Linked DNA regions of Canis lupus familiaris. The protein of the gene in region 2 interacts with the protein of the main gene of each other region in a pairwise test. Links are inferred from orthologs where the notes say so. Each region holds a gene or a part of one and is shown on either strand. Other genes may lie near its edges.

Region 1 (3,746 bases), on a different chromosome or scaffold from region 2:
TGGCACCTACTAGCTTCCTGTGTGACCTTGGCCAAGTCATCTCCCTATGCCTCAATTCCCATCCATAAAATGGAGATAGGAGTACCCACCTCCATCAACTGCCAGGATCAAGAGAAATAGATGTAAAGAGGCAGAGCCCAGCGCTGGGCACCCGTGAGTGCTCAGCTACTCAGGCCTAATGCTCTCACATCAGAAAGGTGGGCCAGACTTTCTGCCTCACTACCAGCAGGGTGACCTCCAAAACAACCCTGACCATGCCCCTGTCCCCATGCGAGCCCTCCCCCACTTTCCCCATTGCCAAGAATACAGATAAAGCCCTGGGTTATGGTCCCCTTCACTCCAGTCTCTGGTCTCCAGTCGGGGACTACAGCCCCCACAGCTCCACCTCCTGGGATGATGGAGCACGTTTCCTTCACTCCTTAGCACTGGATGTTAGGGGGGCACAGGCAACAGAAGGGGCAGACATGTCGGGGCTCTGAGGAGGGCTCTCAGAGACCAGGGAAAGCTTCCAAGAGGAGGCACAGCCTCAAGTATTGAATGAATGGTATTTAGGCTGGCCAAGAGAGGGGGGCACTTTCCGTGTAAGAAATATAACAGGCAAAGGTCAGGCTGATTGAACCTGGTCAGCCTGAAGAAGTCAGTCTGAAGAAGTCCGTCCTCTGCTGGAGCAGCAGTAGGAGGAAATGTTTGGGGGGCAGGAATGCCAGGGAAACATTTTGGCTTCCTGCCAAAGGGGATGGGGAGCCAGTGATTATTCTTGAGCATCTGAGAAGGGCTTAATGGGAAGCAGATCAACCAACCAAAGAAGGTGCCAAAAAGAGCTCTCAGAGGAGGTACTGACTGGAATCCTCAGGAACAGGGAGAATGGAGCCCTCACCTGAGCACCTTGTGGGTGATATCATCATCCGTGATCCCACTGTATGTCAGGTCCTCATTCCAGACAGGATTCAGTGTGTTCCTCTGAGTCTTAGTTTTTAGCTTATTGGCCTGAGGTGTGGGGACGAAGATTCTCAATATATGTCCCCCAGACATACAGAGCCTGAGGGCAGGGGAAGGGTGGGGACAGACCCACCAGCTGGGTCAAAGGCTATTACCTTGCAGGCTCCAGGCAGCAGGTGCAGCTTGACGTAGGGGTCAGCAAGGCCATTGAAATCCATGGGCTTGAGGCCCTGCAGAGGACAGAAGGAAAGAGGGCTGCAAGCTCCCAGCCCTGCTGCCTGCCTCCCTCCCTCCCTCTGCAGAGTGGATCCTTGGGGTGTGGAGAGTCAAGAAGAGGGGTGCTGGGGGACAAGGGTCGGGGGAAGGAGGACAGGTCCAAACCGGACACCTGGAACCCGCCCCCAGGGTGGGAGGCACACAGGGCCAGAGCTGGGGAGGCAGGGAGTGCCCACCTTGGCCCTGAGAATACTACAGTGCAGAGTGCAGGAGGCCTGGTCGTAGAGAAGGTCGAACTCCAGCATGCCCAGGGCGGCTGGCAAAGAGGGAAGAGGTAGCGTGAGTCCTGAGTTGATGTGTAAGGCAGGCGTGTGAGAGACCACCGGGCAGGCGGGCTGTGGAGCCTGTGGTGCTGGCGGGTGAAGGTGTGTGCCTGTCGGCAGCGGCTGTCAGCCTGCGAGCCTGTGCGCGAGTGTCTGGGTCCCTGGCTGGGCCGCAACTGGGGCTGTGTGGGTGGCTGAGTGTCTCAGCAGAAATATTGAATATTGAGCCTTTCTGAAACTGTAATCTCCGCCCCGACTGCAGCTGAGGCGGCAGTGCCCGCCTCCCCCAACACGCGTCCCGCAGAGCCCCGGGCCCCAAAGCCCCCATTCAGCCCCCGGGGCCCTCCATCCAAGCCCCCAGACTCACTGGTATCATCCGAGTCGTAACTGTCCACCTCAGCTCCGTCCTCGGGTGTGGTGGCCCCAAGGAGGGCTGCAGGCGGGGCCAGGGCCAGGGGCGCCAGCCGAGCAGGGGCCTCCCTGAGATCTCTGCCCCCGCCTTCTGGTCCCAGTGCCCGGCGGGGGAAGTAGTCAGAGATCTGCCGGATGGGCCGGATGGGCCCGGGGCACACGTTGATGGCCATGTGCTCCTGGATGTTGATGGTCATGCGGTCGCCCCTGCGGCCCCTCATGCAGCACCCCTGGCTGCGAAAAGGATGAGAGGGAGGTCCCAGAGAGTGTGAGCCCCAGGTGGATTCTTCATACCTGCCGGCTGTTGGCAGACGGCCAGGCGGCCACCTCCCCAGCTGGTGGGGCCCTCCCGGGCTTCCCTGCCCAGGTGTCAAGGGAGAAGGTGGCCTGTACCAGCCCGCAGGCAGACAGGAAGCCTGGGCCCCCCAGACCCCTGTTTTGCTCCCCCCTCACCCCCGCCGGGCTGCCAGCCCACTCCCCCAGGCAGGTCCTAGCTCCACCTCAGCCGTGCCCACATACCTTTGGATGGTCCCGGTGTCATCTTTCCGGCTCCTGGCCCTCATCCCGGGATGCCCTCCGCCCCTGGGCTCCTGCCTCCCTCGGAAGCAGCCCCACAGGCACTGTCCATCCCTCTGCACCAGGCGCTTGTCTGGCCCAGGGGGCACGCACCCCTCTACGCTTTCCCTGCCCACTGTCCTTCATGCAGCCGCGGGATCTGCCCGCCTGCCTGACTGGCCCCCCCGCCCTGCAGCCCAACGCGGGGACCCCTGCCTCAGATGCCTCCTCCTGAGACCGGCAATTCAAGACGAGCCAGAAATTGCAGCCTCCAGGGAGCTAAACACCCCGTGGGCACACAGGCTAACACGCACGCTCGCCCTCACCCTCACGCCCCCGGCGGCCCAGCCCTCTGCACCTGTGTCTCTGCCTCCAACAGGTGCCCAAGCACTGGGGGGACGGCGGGGACAGGCTGGGCGGTGGCGGCCGGCGATTCCCGGGGCGGCCAGCGAGAAGAGCGCGGAGTCCGGCGGTGAGAGCCGAGAGGGAGGGAGGGTGAGCAGGAGAAAGTGCGGGGAGGAGGGGGTGAGCGAGGTGGAGGCGAGGATGCAGCCGGCGCAGGCGGCGGGGGGCGGGGAGGGGCGGCCGGAGGCTGGGGAGGGGGCGGGACTCTCCCGCCCGCGCCCGCCGGGCACACTTAGGGGCGCACGCGAGTGCGCACACACACACGCACACACACACGGGCACTCCCGCGCACACGCCTGCGCCCACGTGCGCACGCTCGCACACATGCACTAACCCACCCCGGAGAACTTCGCGTGCACACACTCGCGGACACACGGGCTCCCTGCGCCACCGAGAAGCAGCGGCGAGAACTGCCCGGTGTTCCCCAACTCCCCGGAGACCCCGGGCCCCCGCCCCTGCCCCTGCCCCTGCCCCGGCACCGAGCCCGCGGCGCCTCCCTCCCCTGCGGGCTCCTCGCTTCCCCCACCCCGGGCCTGCGGGACCCAGACCACCCGCCTGGTTGCCATGGCGACGCTGCGCCTCCTCCCTCCTCCCCGGCCCCCCCCGCGCCTCCTCACGCCCCTCCCCCACGGACAGCGCCCGGGGGAGGGAATAGGTTGTTGGGCCCTCCCCTCCCCAAATCCGTAGGGGCGGGGCTTAGAGATCCGCAGTCACCCGGGGTGGGCCGGGGGACGGTATCCGATCCGCTCGCGCTCGCTGGCCTGGGACCCTGGGGGGCCCTCTCCCCGCCAAGCCGGGCTGGGGAACCTCACAGTCTGACGGAGGGGACGGGTCCGAGGCTGTGGCTTCCCCCACGCCTCTTCTCTGGGGCTGTCCAGGCCTCTCTCCTGTGGTCCA
Region 2 (3,646 bases):
GAGTCAGGTCCTTTGATTACGATGACAGTCGAGAAGGAGGTTGGCATTCTCCTTGCCAACCGAGTGGAAGAAGAGGGAGAGGGAGAGAGACAGAAGGGATTCTTCAGTGTCTTCACAGCTATAACAAAGCAATGAAATTAAGGGACGTGTACAAGCAAGATGTCAAGACTACTCCATCTATCCAGACATTTCAGGTCCTGAGGCTTTGATGAATCAGACAGTGAAACTGAATTTTCCTTAATGGTGATGTTTGCAAAGAGAACGCCTGTCTATCAGACTGTGCAAATGGCACTAGATTTTCTTGGTCTACAGTTGCTTAATTTTTTCAGCAGGTCTCCTGGGCTGCACATCACACTTGCTGACGCAGCTTTGTTAGGCTGCTGCTTCCCAGGTCCCACCCCAGATCTGCTGAATCACAATCTGTGACAAGTCGGGCCCAGGCTTCCCCGGTGACTCTGATGCGCGCAAGGGCTGAAATGTCTCGTTTTCAGGGCAGGAGGCTTCTGAAACCTTCGTGTCTAAGTAGGATGAGTCTGTATACAGTTACAGAGGGGGACACTTCAGAGTCCCCAAGTTATTAAAAATCATAGCATTTAAAAAGATGTTTTCCTGACAACCACTTAGCTTTATTATATTGAATATAAAAAGTTGTTTTCCAAGCTGAATTTCAAGGACTACTACCGTGTTAAAATTAAATATACCTGAACAGATGAGGTCAACAGGTACAAGCCAGGACTGGGCTGAGCCAACTGGAATGAATGGCTCCCCTAGTTCTAAAGAAGCAGGAAATCTAAAATGTAAATGCTCTCCTTTGAACACTGCTCGGTGATGCAGAAGGAGATGTTCATTGGATTTGCCTCATGACCATATTTAAATTGCAGTGTTTATTAGATAAAGCCTTTTGGAGGCCCTGTTAATCAAAGTAATTTAAACATGGCATAATTTGCTGCCTGTCAGCGAGACCTCTTTGGGGCTTCTGTAGTTAGTGTTACACCCAGAGATGAGAGTTCTTGGCTCACAGCTCTCTACATCTGGTGAGAATGGCCTCCTCTGAAATAATTCTGTACTTAATCGTCTGGTTGGAGGTATTATTACGATGGGGAGAAGGGCAGGGCGAGTGAAGACAGAGGAATGGGGGAGAGTGGCCACAAGGCTTCCCTGATCATTAGGACCCGCAGGCCAAGTGGTAGCGATAGTAAAAATCCTCTAATTTGTCAGTTCCGATGGAAGTCACCATGGACAAATTAAAGGCAACAGGGATTGGGTGGTTGTTGTTTTTTTTTTCTTTTGAGCCAGAGGAGTAGCTGGAAACAATGGTACAAAATTGATAACTCATTATTCTTTAACATGCCTCGGCGCCAGGCACGCCTGTGGCATGCTGATTGGCACAAAATCAGGGTCCCTTCCCCGCCCAGAGAGACGAACACATCTGTTCCAAGTACAGAAATCCATCCACCCCTCATTTAGTGAGTGCAAGGCTGCAGTATGAAACAAGATGTTCCTCTCCAGAAACGGGGTGTCCTCTGCTCAGCTGCCCTGCCCAGGGCCTGGGTCCTGCTACCGCCTGCAGTCCCATGGACCTCGAGGGTGACTTGCTGATGACTTCCACCTAAAACAGACACCATCTTTCTTATCTTCTCCTGCAGTTCTTACTCGATCTTAAACACAGCATCTAACGCTCTCTCATTTGGTGATGGCATGTTGGAGAGGCGGCAGTATGAGGACCAGGTTCTGGGGGAGACGGCGCCCCTGACTATCATCTGCCAGCCCACGCAGGTAACACTGACCAGCGGGGTCACATCCTCAACTCTACTCAGGATTCACTGGGCACTTACTTGCTAAGCAGGAGGGCTTGCCCTGGCTGCCCCAAAGGGTCCCCGATCTCTTGGGGGAGAAAGGGGCACAAAATCATAAAAGATACATAGGAATTCAAGGCTAGGAAGAGCCATGTAGGTGGTCCTGGCAGCATCTACCACGTGTGGGTCTAGGCTGGTAGAGAAGGTGGCTCTGCAAAGAGGAGGATGTGTTATCTGTAAAGTCATAATGGTTCTATCTCAGAGGTCAGTGTGAGATTAAAAAAAAAAAAAAAAAAGGCCCTTTGCACAGTGCCTGGCACATGGTGAGTGCTCACGTATGTCTGAGGGCTCGATATATGCCAGGAGCATTACAGAAGGGAGGAGTGGGGGTGGGGATCGTTCTGAACAACCAAGACAAAGGAAAGTTAAGGATCAAGAGACTAGATCACGTTGGCTTGGAGCCCAGGGCTTGAATCAGAGGAGAATGGGAAAAGAAGCAGGAAAGATCATCCCTCTATCCCACATATTAACCCTGTCAGGGCAACTAACCGGCCACAAATGTAAAGTGCTGGCCACACTAGCGAGACTGGGAATAGCCAACTATCGGAAAGAAGGAACATAGAAACATCTATAAGGATCCACCCAGCAGTGATAGAATCCAAAGTCATTTGGACATGCCTTTGACTAGACAGGCCTATTTCATCACTCAGAGGGAGCAACTGTCCTCCTGAACCATTTCTGGGAACACCAACAACGCATGTAGTCAGACGACAGCGCCAAAAGTGAGATCAGGATACTCAAAGCTCGGGGAGACCATGGGGCCAGATGGTCTAACCACCATGTGTTAGAGGTGAGGCAGACCGTTTTGTGATAAAAGTCCTTGCTCCCTGAAGTTGTTGATGAAGTATCCCTTTAGGGGAGGACTAGATGGCTGGCTGTACATACTGGCTAGTTTTCCCTCTGGGCCATAACTCAAGTGGTCTTCACGTTTTAGTACTGGCCAAATGCTACTCCTTCTAACCACCACAGCAACAGCAAGGGTGAGACGGTCTTTGCAACCCTCTGGTTTTGCAAAACAGCTGCAATTCATCTCATTCGAGCCTCAGAATAACTTGTGAGGTCTGTAGGATGAGTCTTACTGCCCCCATTTTACAGACAGGCCAACCTAAATCCGAGGTAGTTATGGGATTTGCCCTTGTTCTACACTGGTAGAATTTGTTCTAGAGCTCAGCTCTGTTCATCTGGCACCTGGCTCCAGGACATGTTCACTTTCTTATGTGCTTCCCCCACTAATAGCCTTTCTTTCCCTGCAGCCTCTGAGGGTCAGTAGCCAGCCCGGCCCTCAAAAGAGATGCCTCTTTGTGTGTCGGCATGGTGAGAGGATGGATGTTGTGTTCGGGAAGTACTGGCTATCCCAGTGCTTTGATGCCAAAGGTGAGTGGTTAGTTGACCTGCTTAGCATTGGCATACCTATTATGGCCTCTGGGGGGCACAGTCCAGCTACATTTGTCTAGATGGAGTCCTTTATGGTCTCTGAGCTATAGGAAATGCCTATAATCTGCCACAATGTAAGTCCTTCCTAATGGTCTTGAATGTTACCTGAAGGGGAAAGTGTCCTTGTCCCCATTCTATTAACTGGGACACCGGGGACCAAAGAAGGCAAATGTCTTGCCCATGGTCATTTGGCAGAGGCCTAGACAGGTGTCCTGATTCTGTGGCCAGAATTTCCTCCATTAAGTCACCCTGGATAATTTTGGTTCCAATTTCATTTGAGTGGCATGTCTTAAGACTGGGAGGTTTTCATCTCTCAGAATCTTCCTGCTTTAGGATGTGTGGTTGTTACTTTCACC

Evidence for each region.
Region 1: the proteins of UBASH3B (region 2) and DOC2A interact in binary tests that used the Homo sapiens proteins (3 or more experiments, as listed by UniProt). The link is inferred for Canis lupus familiaris from reciprocal best matches to the Homo sapiens genes UBASH3B and DOC2A.

The regions. Positions count from the first base shown.
Region 1 is NC_049227.1:18,208,112-18,211,857, forward strand, and holds the start of DOC2A (double C2-like domain-containing protein alpha), read right to left. Parts: upstream 2,768-3,746; 5' UTR 2,453-2,767; coding exon 2,409-2,452; intron 2,124-2,408; coding exon 1,846-2,123; intron 1,472-1,845; coding exon 1,392-1,471; intron 1,170-1,391; coding exon 1,095-1,169; intron 988-1,094; coding exon 878-987; intron 1-877. UniProt on the Homo sapiens protein: Calcium sensor which most probably regulates fusion of vesicles with membranes. Binds calcium and phospholipids. May be involved in calcium dependent neurotransmitter release through the interaction with UNC13A.
Region 2 is NC_049226.1:11,544,686-11,548,331, reverse strand, and holds part of UBASH3B (ubiquitin-associated and SH3 domain-containing protein B), read left to right. Parts: intron 1-1,646; coding exon 1,647-1,776; intron 1,777-3,109; coding exon 3,110-3,230; intron 3,231-3,646. UniProt on the Homo sapiens protein: Interferes with CBL-mediated down-regulation and degradation of receptor-type tyrosine kinases. Promotes accumulation of activated target receptors, such as T-cell receptors and EGFR, on the cell surface.